Linked DNA regions of Styela clava. The protein of the gene in region 2 purifies or fractionates together with the protein of the main gene of each other region. This does not show direct contact. Links are inferred from orthologs where the notes say so. Each region holds a gene or a part of one and is shown on either strand. Other genes may lie near its edges.

Evidence for each region. The genes of interacting proteins can lie anywhere in the genome.
Region 1: the proteins of dynamin-1-like protein (region 2) and intracellular hyaluronan-binding protein 4-like purify together in Homo sapiens (affinity purification with mass spectrometry; 3 studies listed by BioGRID and IntAct, with this or other methods). This does not show direct contact. The link is inferred for Styela clava from reciprocal best matches to the Homo sapiens genes DNM1L and SERBP1.

Annotation. Positions count from the first base shown.
Region 1 is NC_135258.1:5,590,963-5,597,916, reverse strand, and holds the start of intracellular hyaluronan-binding protein 4-like, read right to left. Parts: upstream 3,002-6,954; 5' UTR 2,873-3,001; coding exon 1,604-2,872; 3' UTR 1-1,603. UniProt on the Homo sapiens protein: Ribosome-binding protein that promotes ribosome hibernation, a process during which ribosomes are stabilized in an inactive state and preserved from proteasomal degradation.
Region 2 is NC_135258.1:11,927,164-11,934,545, reverse strand, and holds the start of dynamin-1-like protein, read left to right. Parts: upstream 1-4,377; 5' UTR 4,378-4,549; coding exon 4,550-4,651; intron 4,652-5,695; coding exon 5,696-5,852; intron 5,853-5,925; coding exon 5,926-6,197; intron 6,198-6,823; coding exon 6,824-6,961; intron 6,962-7,239; coding exon 7,240-7,372; intron 7,373-7,382. UniProt on the Homo sapiens protein: Functions in mitochondrial and peroxisomal division.

The DNA.
Region 1 (6,954 bases), about 6.3 Mb from region 2:
AATCTAACATTTCGCCAATTTTTCTTTAAAACAACGTAAAACAATGAACATATTTGATGATAATTTGAGTTCTTAACAAACGTAAACAGAAAAGGGTTAGGGATGTTGTATCATTGGTGACAAAACCAAAAAGCAAAGTTACCAACAAATAACTATTCCTCAAAATATTTGAGAACCAGAAAACAGAATTCTTTTCACCCTATTCGCACACAAGGACAGACATTTAGGCATCAATATTTTATTTTGAAGGTTATTCAAATGTTTTATTCATGATTTTGGTGAACTTGGATTTTTTCTGAAGCAAAGTAAATCTGTCATAAAGTGAACCCACAAACCCGCTTCATTTTCAAATAAAATATAAACGACTGTTTATGACAAGCCATGATTACGTACATTCCTTAGTGAAACCAATAAGCTTTGCATACATGGTTTCTTTACTCTCAAGGCGTCTCATTTTGATAATGCCACACAAAATGCCGTCTTACGCAGTGTTGACCATCACACTTGAACCAAAATTTAACAATTTCTTACAGAGGCTTCTTATGTTGCATGTGTTATGGCATCCGAATGGTGCCACACAAGATGCTGCATTTTGCCCATCACTTTCAAAGTTATTTGAAGAGGAATTTTACATAATTTTTTTCAGAGGCTAACACATTAGCATACAAACAAGGTGCAGCAAGTCATTCAATTTTATATCGCAAACTAGCAACTGAAACGAAAAGTATTCATTTCGAAAATTTCGGATTGTAATTTCTGATATGTGTAAAAAAAAATTTGACGCAAGCAGACAACATATTCATCAAAAAAGTACAAAGGTAGCGTAAAATGGAGATACTTTATTCCACTACAGTCAACTAAAATGAGCAAATATTATATCAAAAAGTGGGAAAACAAAAGCAATTCTCATTGTCATGTGACAGATAAAGCAAAAGCCTTCAAACAAATTGTATAGAATTCTGAAACCAGGGGTTCCAGCTGAACTCATACAGCGGTTTGCCCACAATCGTGTTCGGAGGTTTTACCCATATGCTGCACAGTGGTCTTACTTGCATCATGTGCCAGTCGTCCGGCACACACATTAACAACTTTATGCTAGCACAGAAAGGGTAATTTCAGAATTATTCAAGTTAAATTATTGAATTTTTAACTCCAAGATGTTTCAAATCCAATAAATGATATTGGGAGAGACAAATTCAGGTTTGAATTATTACTCTAACTTACATTTCTGCCAAACAACAAAAGGAGCAAACATGATATTGACTTTGTGAATTTCAGAAAAAAAACAATAGGAATCACTTTTGTTGTTCCCACTTTATAATTAAACATTCGCAAATGAAATTTAATGGAATAAAAAGCTAAACTCAGCATGCAATTTTTTGAACTATGACGTCACTATTTTTTTTCGAGTAAAATTTTGAATTTTGCCATAAAACGTAACAAATAAACCACATAAAAAAATTGTCCTTAAACGGCGTTCTTGCGTTTACCGATGATCAAGTTTATTTTGAAATAGAAGCCCCGTTTAATATTAAAACGATGTTCAACAGTTCATTCTCACACACATAATATTCACAGATTTGAAAGGTCTTGACGATGACCTTTAACCCAAGGTCGGGAACTCTTGTTCGTTTTGAACATCAGGAAGTAGTTGATGACCTTGCCTCTGCATTCGTTCCCCTCCAAAACGACCGCCACGCCCACGTCCACGCCCTCCTCCTCTACCTCCGCGTCCTCGACCTCCAAACCCTTGATTTCTGTTGTCTCCGAATTGGATATTAACGCTTACTTGTGGTTTGGTTTGTCGTTTATGCTGGTCATCAGGATTGGTTTCTCGTTTCGAATCGTCTTTGTTGACTTTGCGCAACACTTTCATGCCTTTCCATTTTTCTTGGCTCTCTCCTTCTCCGGGTCTTCGAATATTAAAGGATGGTTTTGCTTGAGTGCCTTGTTCCTGTTGGGCTTTCCATTCATCGAGTGTCATTTCCGTTGGTTCTTCTTCTTTCGGTTCTTTATCTTCTGCGCCTTCCTCGGTTGTTCCCTCCTCTTCAGTCTTTTTTGGTGATTCAGTTCCTTCAGTTTCAGCATTTTCTTGCCATGTTCCGACTGGTTCAGTTACAGCGGTAACTTCCACAGTTTCCTCGATTTCGTTTCCAGGGGTTCCCCAATTTCGTGGGCCAGCGCCGTCACGCTTATCGCTTGGTTTCACACTTGATCGATCACTTCCGCTACGTCGGTCGAATTCACGTTTTCCGCGATCATCACGTCCGTCATTTCGATATCCACCAAAGTTCCTGCCTTGATATCCACCACGACCTCCATTTCCACCACGACCTCCGCGGTACCTTTCCGCACGATCTCTTCTTGGGCCATAATCTCCAGTGCCAGGGTTTCTCAACTTCTCCCCTTTAGCTTGATCAAAGCCTTCTGTTTTTTGATTTTCATTGTTTTCTCTGTTCTCCCGTGGATGATCATTTCTTCTTCGTGGTGGTCTCCTATTTTCATCACCTTCCCCGTAATTTTGTCTTTCATTACGAGGTCGCCGAGCGCTATTTTGCCTGGGACCATCGCTACGGTCATTTTGACGTCCTGGCTTTGCAGATTTTGGTGCCCCTGCGTCTTTTTTAGGTGGGACATTAGAATCCTTGTTCTCTTGGAATCGCGTTGGCTTTTTTTGGTTTTTTGGCCTGTTTGCCAAAGCCTGCTTTTTCTTTTTAGCTTCCTCTAACGCGCTCTTTTTCTGATCTTCCAGCGTTTTCAAGGTGTCTAACGGATCATAATCCGCCGCCGTGTCGCTTTCATCGTCAGGTTCGGAACCTATATCGTACCGATTACTGACGTTTACACTATAGATATCCTGTATTGCAGGCATTTTAAAGAGGTTTTGCTGACTCTAAATCGCCAATATTCAACAGCTTTTGTACCGAAAATCGAAGAAACGTAAAACGCCGCCTCGTGAAAGAAGTTTCCGCTTCAAAACGTGCTCGGCTCCGAAATTCCTCGTTCCCACTAAAACACGCCCACAAATAGCGTTGCCAGGTAATATTGGCGGTTTATGGCAAGACCAAATTTTAGAAATTGAATTGTATAATAAAAAATTCGGATAATGCATTGGCTCATTTTAATAAACTGAAAATATTGATAACGCTTTTGAATATGCATACAAGTATTTTGATGCAAAAATTATTCGCTAATCAGTTAGAATAGACTGAATAGCAAAGAACAATCGATTGGTATCTCACCGTTTGTTAAAAAAAATGGGAATAAAATAATGTATAAAACTGTTTTTTATTTTAAAATTGCACAGTTGGTGCAATCGTATTTTTTTCATACTCATGTGCAAGATGAATTTTTTGATGACAGACATATTTAAGAATCTATCTTCACGGAAGGTAAACTGATCGGAAAATTTTACCAGAAGAATCTATATTTCAATTTGAGGATATTGAAGATAATGGCAAATTTAAATTCACCTTAACTACGTGAAGAAAAAATTTAATTTTTTGCAAAATTTTGATGATTTAGAAAATTAAAATTATATAATCCACCATGGAAAAACGAATGCCAGAAAAAATGAAAAACAACAAGACCAACTGGGAATGGCAACTTGTTAGAAACTCTTATAAGATAGGTTTTACATATTTGACGATTGCCTATTGCCAGTCACTGTCGGGTATGGGAATGGCAAAAAAATATTTCTTTTTACGAGGAGTTACACAAACCAAGATCAATGAATGTCAAATATCCTGTACCTAAAGATGGAAGAAGTGACTAGAAGGATATCATAGTTTTTCTATCACCCTACGGGCCAAATTTTACAGTTTTTTATAATTCCCGGGCACAAGCTCATGTGATATTCGGCACCGTTCTTACATTTGGCAGCCATATTAGTGATGGACGTTTCCCCGACCTTTGACCCCTGAAAAACTCTCCTTATACTTTACTATTGCAAAATTCCAAACGCTCATTTTAAGAGTGTTTTGGGGGTTAGCGCCTACAAACTGGTCCTTATAAATTTATGCAACTAAACTAAATGTCGTCGGAAGGCATGATAGCAACCATTAAGTTGTTTGATTTACAACTATTTTTGGGGGAACACACGTAAACACTGACAAATAACACGCAAATACACGAAAACGAGGCAATACTTACAACTCTGCCTGAATATCTGTCTGAGCCAAAGAATGGTCTGAGCGGCCGCATAAATTCCTGTTGTTACGATGTTGTTGGCCTATTGCTGATTGGTCATTGTTACGGCAATAAACAGGGAAAACGATGCTCGGGGAAACATTTATTGATATTCGTGACCATATATTTGAACATTGTTCTCTTGTTCGACATGAAGTGGACCAATCCACAAGGTCTAGATCAGGGCTTCCCAAACAAGGGGCCGCGGCCCTGAAAGGGGCTCCGAAACGAATTTTAGGGGCCGCAAAGAGAACACCAATTTTACACGAAATACAATATAAATCTATTGTACTTTTTCAGACTCTTGATTCGAAATACAATTATTGAAAATAGTGTAAAACAAACATTTCACGATTCCGAGTGAATACATCATCATAATACCGTGTTTCCCCCAAAATAAGATACTGTCTTCAATTTTCTTTCGAAAATAACACTAGGGCTTATTTTTGGGATAGAGAATACCGAGATTTTTTATTATACAAAATATGAATACCGATTTTCATTTACTTATAAATAGCACGTCTTTATTCAAAATAACTGCTAAATACAGATTATTAATCATTTAAAAAGTAGAAAATATTTTTTGCTATCGACTAGGACTCAGTGGTTCTCGATCTTCATTGTATTGTGACGCCTTCCAAAATATGCTCAAGTTGCGACTCCTCGTGAAAATACTAGGGATGGCCCGGGATTCGGATCCGGACTCAGATTCGAGTGGAATCCACACATTTTATAGACTCGGATTCGATTTCAAGTCCACGTCATTTTTACCGCAATTCTGTTTTTACTAATTTACGCCTATATTTGTACTTTTGCCTCTATAAATCTCACTACATACCTTAACTAGGTAAAATTCAAGGTTAGATCTGTAACAATATCCCTCGTGTGTATTATAATATAAACACTCCTTATAAAGACCACGACAGATATCCAGATAATATACCGTAGGTTAAAAACTATTGATCGCTGATAATAATAATGTTGCGCCAGTCGCTTTCAAACTATCTATCCTTTTCGGTATACATGTGACACAATAAAATATGTGTTAGCGAAATATTTTTGAGTTTTTGATTCGCGTAAAAATGAAACATGCTCCCGATCAACCCAGTGGGGAATCTCATCAATACCTCTTTTAAATCGAGTTTATTACGTGCAATCCTTTCTCTAAAACGGGAGCGATGGAAAGCGTGGGGAGTTTCAAAACGTTTACATGAACTACTAAATTGCAAGAAGATGTAGAAGACATTGTATTGACGACGAGGCATTTCTCTACCATTTGCGCACGTGACATAGTAAATTTACGGCTAGAAATATCTGGAATTATAGGAAAGCATTGTAGTCAAAAGCTTTTTATTTTTCATATTGACATATAAAAATGTCTGAATAGCCGCCCGGAAATGACACAAGGTGGTGGGCTGGAAATCCAGTTCACAGCCAAGGCGCACAAAAGCCCACGTTTACGTTCGTATTATGGCCGCCAAAAAAGAAAGAAAATATATTTTTAAAATGATTCAACAGCTATCTGCAGAACCATTAGGCAAATGAGCTACGACGTATGTATGTGGGCGCACGATGCTGTAGCTTGGTCAAAAACGTGTTTTTCTGCTTTTACATTGTGACGTCACGGACTCGGAGGATTCGATTCGAGTCTTCAGTCTATTACTCGGATTCGTCGAATCTCTGTAATGGCGGACTCGTCCCATCCCTAGAAAATACGTATTGATACATTTTAATAAAAGACTTTTTTTGCAATGAGTTTTATATGAACGGACAAATAAAACTTAACGACAGTCAGTGAAATCGCATTTAATGCGCCTTGGTAGAAAAGTCTGCTTTATATAAAAACGAAATCGCAAAGCAGGTGGGCGTGCGCATCGCTTTTTGAACCAAGGAAAAATAATTTTTATCTACGGAAAACCGAACTTTCAGAATTAAACTTTTTTATTATAGCACCATCACAGGTAAGATCGATTTAATCTACTTTTTTTCAGTAAAAGTAGAAGATATGGGTTGATTGGAAGGTTCAAGAATCACGAAATTTTGCGACGTCCCAGCAAAATTGAAACGACGCACTTCCACGGGATTAACTAAACAAAAAGATGCGCTATCGACTAAGTCTTTTTTAAAGGCGAGCGCTCATATTATATATAATTCTTTTTAAAATTCAGGCTTGATCTTATCCTCGGGGAAACACGGTAGAATCATCGCGCTTTCATGACAATGCATATTCTGACCGTAAGACCCGATTTGTGTGTGCTTGCATAACAATGACGGCTTTAATCGTTACGTTAGCGGTTTCCGAAGGCGATTTGCTGAGTGCGCCCCGAAACATATCACATATTATAATAATTCTAAATGTTTTATTGTTTCTTATTGTTGCAAATGATGTGTATATGAATCAAATTCATTTTACCGTTCTACGTTGTTTACTTTCTGTTCCGTAGGGTATATTGTTATAAGAGGTAAACCCTACAATACATTCTGCAATTTTGTAGGCTGCGGTTTATTCATTTGCTGAACCGATTTTATTAAACATGAGTAATTTTTTAGCATTTTAAAGAAAAACCCAACAGAGATAAGAAAGAAACGATAACCTTTTGCCTTCATTCCTCAGGCCTACATGTTTACAAACCTCAAAAGACATCAAGTACATATTAACGATGACAAAATTGTTTTTGTTTTAAGGCAGCATATTTTCCGTGTAGGTGCGCCATGAGTTTTTCCCTGATAATTTGGCGTCACAGAAACCGCTTCCTTATGCTAAGT
Region 2 (7,382 bases):
ACATGAAGAAGGTGGCATTTTCGAAGAAAATGGGAGTTGTAACATTTCCGCTCTTCACAAAATTCTGAAGCACATTGTTTAATTTGTCATATTTCCGTCAATACAATCAAAAAACACAATAAGCTCAGCAGTCAATATGACAAATTCGAAGACCAACTTCGAACAGAAAATTTCCATGTGTTTGTATATTAATATAATTATACAACGACTTAGTTACTAAAAATCAATATCAATAATAATTCAAGCAATCCTATGCCACGCAATGTAGTGCGAAATGTCTTGTCGAAAAAATCTGTCATTTGTTTTTTTACTGATCTATACATGAAATGATAAAAGTAACTTTTCTGCATTACTGGAATTAATTGAACATTCGTAAAGATCCAGATAAAGCCATGATCATGTGGCCTCGTTAGTTAGAGTTGGTACTATAAAATCATTTCAGACTGGCCTTAGTATGCTGGTGACACAAAAAAGATGCCAAACGCCAGGACAAATGTAATTATTAAAACATTGAGTTTATACTGTAGTATTTTTGTTAATTTTAGGTTCATATATTTAAATTAAGTTATTTTTAGTGTATGTATTATTCTTTCCCTATTCAAAGCTTGTTCAAAAATGATTTTGATGGTTGTACATAGAATTTTACGATTTTTTATAATAAATACTGTAACTTGCAAATGTTGCAATAATAGTGGAATGCAAAGATTAATATGTAATTGCATTTGAAATTGAAGAAAATAATAAAACTTAATATAACTGTTTAGTTGCATCACAATATATGTCACAAACTAAAACTATCTTAAAAATATCTTTTAAGTATACATTATCAAAAACTGTTTGCGGCTCTTTTTACAATTTTCAAAATGCAATGCGGCTCTCGAAAACCCATGAGTTTGACACCACTGATCTATTCTAGACGATTCAAGCATTGCTTTGGGAAATTATATCACTTCAATTAAATTGAAATAATCTCGCTATATAAAATACAAAATCGTTGCTATCGTAAAGGTAAACCAATTCAGCCACTCGAAATATATTGGCCTTCACAAAGCAATGGAGGCAAAATTGAGAGTTCATGAGCTATGAACATTTGTTCTTTTCTTCGTCTTGAACTTTCCATACTCCGCAGCCCCTATTAATTTTTTTTTAATTTTAATTACCATGTGATGGTCATACATATCTTTAACTTGTATTTTCTGTCATGATGTATTATCTCAATGTGCCAAACTATTAATTAGTGTGCATATTTTGCTTCCAGATGACATAAATGTATTGTCATGTTTATTACCTCAGCTTGGAGTATTGACAAGAAAAAGGTGCCAGTAAATTAGGTAAAAAAATTTTCAACTCATTGTTATAATCAGAATTCACAATCAATAGAAATTATAAACAGCCAACAATCAGTGAGAATTATATGCGAAATCCCTCAGAGTAAATTTGTCTAAAATCGGAGGAAGGCAAAAAATATAGGTAGTTTCCATCCACACAAGCATTTCAAGAAGACTTGCTCGAGCCAAACTAAATGAGCATCGTCAGGTGATCGGTAAGGCTGCAAGTTGAATTCAGCCCTGCAACCTCCTGCATAGAAGATAATATTAATTAGTGGGCTATGAGCTAAATTCCTAAATTTAAACAAACCTATCTACGATGCATTATGTACCAGCAATGTTACCTACGATTAACTGAATATGTAATATGTCTAATAAATTCACCTACAAAAGCAAGTTCGATAGGTGCAAACTTTGTGTTATGGAATTGTATCGCAGCACAGTTTTGTATGACACCCTCTTTAAATGAAATTTCAATGATTAAGCGCAAACATTAAAATTACCAACTTTGAACTTTGTCATTATCTGCAAAATGTTCCACACAAATCTTTCCGCTATCGCGTTTGTAATCTTCTCTGATAAAAAAACGTCTATGATGTCCAGAATTGCTCTTTACAGCTTGCCTGTTACTCCAGCTTTCCAAGTAAGCAAAACTTCTTAGATATAGAGATTATTTTGTTTCGTTACAGGCGCAAAAAGGCAGGTACTACACGTAAAAACGACGCCGAGTAGCAAAAGCGAGCGAGAAAACGGACGCGAAAGGCGACGAGAAATATGTGCATTGGAGCGTATCATGAAATACAATGTTTTGCCTGTAGTCTTATGGAGTGACGTCAGAGTTGCCTATCATGTTGTTTAATGTCATTGAGTGGACTTATGACTCGTTGCGCTAAATTCTTCATATTGATGTTGTAGTGAAAAAAAATCGTTTTCTATGCAAATAATATTCTGATAAATTTCGGAACTTCAGTAGGCTACCAAATCAGGTATTTCGCCCAAAATTTTGCTATTTCCATCCACATGGAAAGACTTTGTTATAAAATGTTGTTTCCTTTCTTGTGCCACACTTGCCCGTCGATATTTTCTGAGGAACCATGACCACCATCTTTGAAAAAAAAAATTTTCAATTTTTTTTAATACAATTTTGCGGAATTTGCAGCTATTTGCGATTGTTCGCAGGCGGAAATTAATGCGGCCCACACGCTACCGCAAATGTGTATATTTGCCCCGCAGGTACATAATGTTTGCCGACCACTGCTCTATGCCAATCATGCGCCATCCCATCTTAACGTCAGACAGCTTTTCAAAAAACAGAAAGTGAGGAAAATTATCTGAACAAACTGAATTTTGCCAAGCTGCCCAACGAACAAGACGTAGTCTGACCAAAATTACAGAAATGTATTCTGAATGTTAACTGCTTTTGTATGTTTATTCGGTGTCCAGCTTTATTACCCTCGCGAAATTTTATAAAGATGTGGTAATTGTACTTTTTGCATACTTGAAAAAGATTGAAAAGGTACCGATTCACTTACCTTGGCTTTACCTTACCTTTTTATTTAAATGTGGTATGTTTTATTACCTCAAGTCCAGTTTTTGTTAGCGTAATCATTACGTCATTGTTGTGTAATTACACACTGAAATATTGAACAGTTAGTTCATCGTCATCGAAATGTTTTAAACCTGCGACTGATCTTGATAAAACACCTAACTTCTAGAACGATATTTATGTAGCTAAGATTTTGAGCCTAAAAAATCAGACCATTCCAGCATTTTGACTGTTGGAATTTATATGGACAGACAATAGTTATCTAAAAACGAATCTAGAGTTAAAACTTAGTCGTGTTTTGAAAGTCCGAGTGCTTCGCCGTTCCCCCCGATAAACATAAAAGCTAATTCAACGTTCGGGAGAGCACAGTTTTTCTCTGCTCCGAATTTTTGACAACCCCATAAACTAATATATACTAATTGCTGAGTAACACAATAAATGTATACACAAAAATGGAATTGGTCCGAACACAAATGCTGCAGAAAACTACGGTTGACCGTGTTTTTATAGCGTCTTTCAGAGTGGGGGCAGGATCAGTCGATAAATTTAAACGAGAGTCTAAAGTAAAAAGAGAAGATATACAGTTCATAAAATATCGAAATCGTAAAACTGCAAATTAAAACACAAAAAATGGCCAACGATTTTCCTGCTACCAAAAAATTTGGTTTGGTTAATTTTTCTCAGCGTAGCGTAGTCAAAATGACTTCCACGCTAAAAATTCTTTCTCCGATAAAATGCATAACGGCAAGTAAATGCAAAGTTATTTTGATGTAAAAGATAGATTTTCTATATTCTTGCATTTTAATATATATGGGAATTCAAAGTTTCCAAATAGATTTAAAGAAATGGGTAAACGAAAGTGTCATTGTACAACTCATATGCATTTTCTAAATATTTTGACTTGAGAAAATACCAAGAGTGCAAAAACATGATCTATATTAACATTTGTTTACATTTTATTGCGCCTCTTAATCATAATTGAAGTTTTAAATTGAGCCATGAAACAAGTTTGACAATCCCATCAATATACAAACCGGTCATGTTATAAAGTATTGCAGATTGAACAACATACATGTGATCATTTAGAATTAGTCCTTTCTGGGCAGAAGTTTCACTAGTGCAACATCCGGTAAATCACCCCAGGAAATCGGAGTGTCGAAAATTTTTAATAATTCATCATATATGACCTAAAAGTATTGCTTTCACCAAATATCAGATTTTTCCCACTGCCAAAAGATAAAGGGGCCCGGAGAGGGTTAAACACGAAGTATTCTCCATTTTTACTATGTTTGTGAATTTTTCTTTTTTCATTGCCAATATTATTTCATTCTCTTTTATAACTGACGAAGAATATAAAAAATACTATTTGAATTTTGGCCTTCTTTTACCAATTTAACATTTTCTTGTATAAAATCGGCCAGCAAGCAAAACTCCGACAAGTGCTGAAATCTCGCCCGTATGCTAAAGAACTACTAGCGCCACCACACGTCAGAAAAGCACAATAGTTTTTAAACCTGTAACCACAGAAGGTCCTCTTTGTTGGAATTTATAGATTTGGCTATGCAGTGCTGATACACGTAATAGTGTAATACTGTTATAGCTGTACATATAGTGTGCGTCTAAGAGCTTGTCTCTAGCAGTTTGAGAAATTTGACGGGAAGTAAAGCACTGAAGAATGGAAGCGTTAATTCCAGTTATCAACAAACTTCAAGATATTTTTAACACCATTGGCTCAGATTCAATACAATTGCCTCAAATAGTTGTGGTTGGATCCCAGGTAACTTGAATGATTTTTTATGAACGAGTCGGAATTGCACTTCATTCAGTCATTAGATAACCGGACCAAAAAATAGCATTTCACATGTTTACCGGTCATAGCCTACCTCCCAGGTCAGGCTTGGGCAAGTTCTGAAGTTGCTGCCCAAGTGATTTAGTAACGATGTACCTGTGTACCAGCTGCTTTCTGCAGTCAACTTTGTGAAAATGGTCAGCTCTTTTTCCAGATGATCACTGATCAATAGAGTTTTTGAAGCATGAATTTTTCTTGTATAATCTTGATAAGTTGCTCTTTGAATCTGTGAGTCGTGTGCTAACACAGCGGGATATCGTTAAACTAGTCAGCTCTTTGCTTTCCAGTATTTTGAATATAGTGAAAACGTTTGCCATTGAACCTCATATTGAAAAACTTGTAAAAACGCAGCAAAGAATACACTCATTTCATTAAAAGTAACATTTGTAATATGTCTTGTTTTATTTGAATGTGTAATAAAATACATTGAAGCGTGCAATGTAGGTTGGCTTCACTTAGTCTGGCACATTACCACATTTTGAATTTGCAATGTGACCCCATGGCAAAAATAATTGCCCATCGTTACCCCAAATGCATGCCAAACGTTAGCAGGTAAGTGATTCATATGCGAACTAAAATAATGCATATGGTTCGAAAGTCCTCTTGAATCTCTGAGTACTTTGTTGGGAAGCCCAAGTAATTGACTCGACCTGAGTCACTCTTTATCAAAGCCTCAAAGTGACTCAAGTCATCAAAATTAAATATCTCATACTCAACCAACTGTCACTGAGACTCGATACAGTGATTGAATAGACGAATAGACTTGGTACTCGGGTGACTCAAGACTCAAGTTGAGGGTCTTTTACCCAGCATTTGTTTACCCACCATTTTTAATAATGCAAAATTGGCATCGCACTTGTAAGCTTACCATTTGAACAGAATGTCATCTATGATTGTTTTGAAAGTGTCATATATCTTAGTGCCCAAAATGGATTAAATTATTCATCATCAATATTGTGTAACACATTTCAGAGTAGTGGAAAGAGTTCAGTTCTTGAGAATCTGGTTGGTCGAGATTTTTTACCAAGAGGAACTGGTATAGTTACAAGAAGACCTCTCGTGTTACAACTCGTGCACTTAGATAATGGAAAAAATAAAACGGAAGAAAATGATGACAATTCAGAAGAAGGTAAATAAAACAGTAAATCAGGTTCTGGTTTTCTACCAATCCTTCCTCCAAATGAGCCATATTTTAATTTTAGATTCTGATAAAGAAAATGAAAAACCAGGTTTGGAAAACCATGTAAATGGCTCATCTTCAAAGTTCAACCATGGCCATGAAGAGTGGGGAAAATTTTTGCATACAAAAGACAAAATGTATACAGACTTTGATGAAATTCGAACGGAAATCGAAAACGAAACTGAACGGATGGGTGGAACAAATAAAGCTATTTGCAGTGATCCAATTAATTTGAAAATTTTCAGTCCTCGTGTTCTGAATTTAACTCTGGTCGATCTCCCGGGAATCACGAAGGTTTTTTTTTTATTTTCTGTTAAAGATACATAAAAAACTCTAAAACATTGTTTTTTTGCTGAAAGATTCTGTATTTTTAGATGTTAAATACAAATATCAAGTAACAAGGAAAATTTAATTATGTATCAAATTTGTTGTTCAAGTAATACTAGTAGTTTAGTAGTTTCTAGTTTCATTAATCGAATGCAAATGTTTCAAAAATTGGTATCCAATACAAATGAAAAAATATGATAAATTCTTAATTTTAGGAGCAGCTTATACTATTTAGAAATTGTATTTTGAAAATTTTCTCTCAATGCTTTTGACACTGAAATCAGACAGAAAATTGAATTTTAAAATCATAATTTGTTCCCACAAAAGTTGATATTTTTTGAAAACTATAGGAGACAGGGTTCATTTATGGGCCAAGCTAGAAAAAATTGGATTGTAAAAGAAATAGCTCCATTATGCAAATCCCATTCGATCATTAAACATTGTATCAACGTAACCAATCATTGTAAACCTAATAAGTAACATTTATTGGTAATTTTGTATTTCATTAATCAATTTTGGTTTGGTAGTAATATACCGTAAGTTAATTTTGATACACATATTCAATGCATAATCATCTCTACTTCCTGTATCAGATTCCAGTTGGTGACCAACCTGAAGACATTGAAGCACAAGTGAGAGAATTGATATTACAATACATTTCAAATCCAAATTCAATAATTCTTGCTGTTTCTCCAGCAAACACGGATATAGCAACTTCAGAAGCCATAAAGGTATGTTTCAACAAATTTACCAGCAGTGATGTGAAATATGGGAAAATTTACACCCGAATCCATCTTTATCCTATATGAAGAAACGACTTCAGCTCCAGATTAAAGGAAATTTTTACTCGGACTCTTCAATTTCGGTCATACAGTAGCTACGGTACTCACATATCAGGATCTGCTGGCACAGAGCCATGTTTAGAGTGAAAAAACCTTGTATAGAAATAAGAAACTTCTACCTAGTTTGCCATGTATACTCATTACAATTTTGATATTATCGAATCTAGATGGCTCTTGAAGTTGATCCAGCAGGAAGAAGAACTCTTGCAGTTGTCACAAAACTAGATATAATGGATGCTGGTACTGATGCTATTGATGTTCTATGTGGAAGGGTCATCCCTGTCAAATTAGGAATTATAGGCAAGTGCAA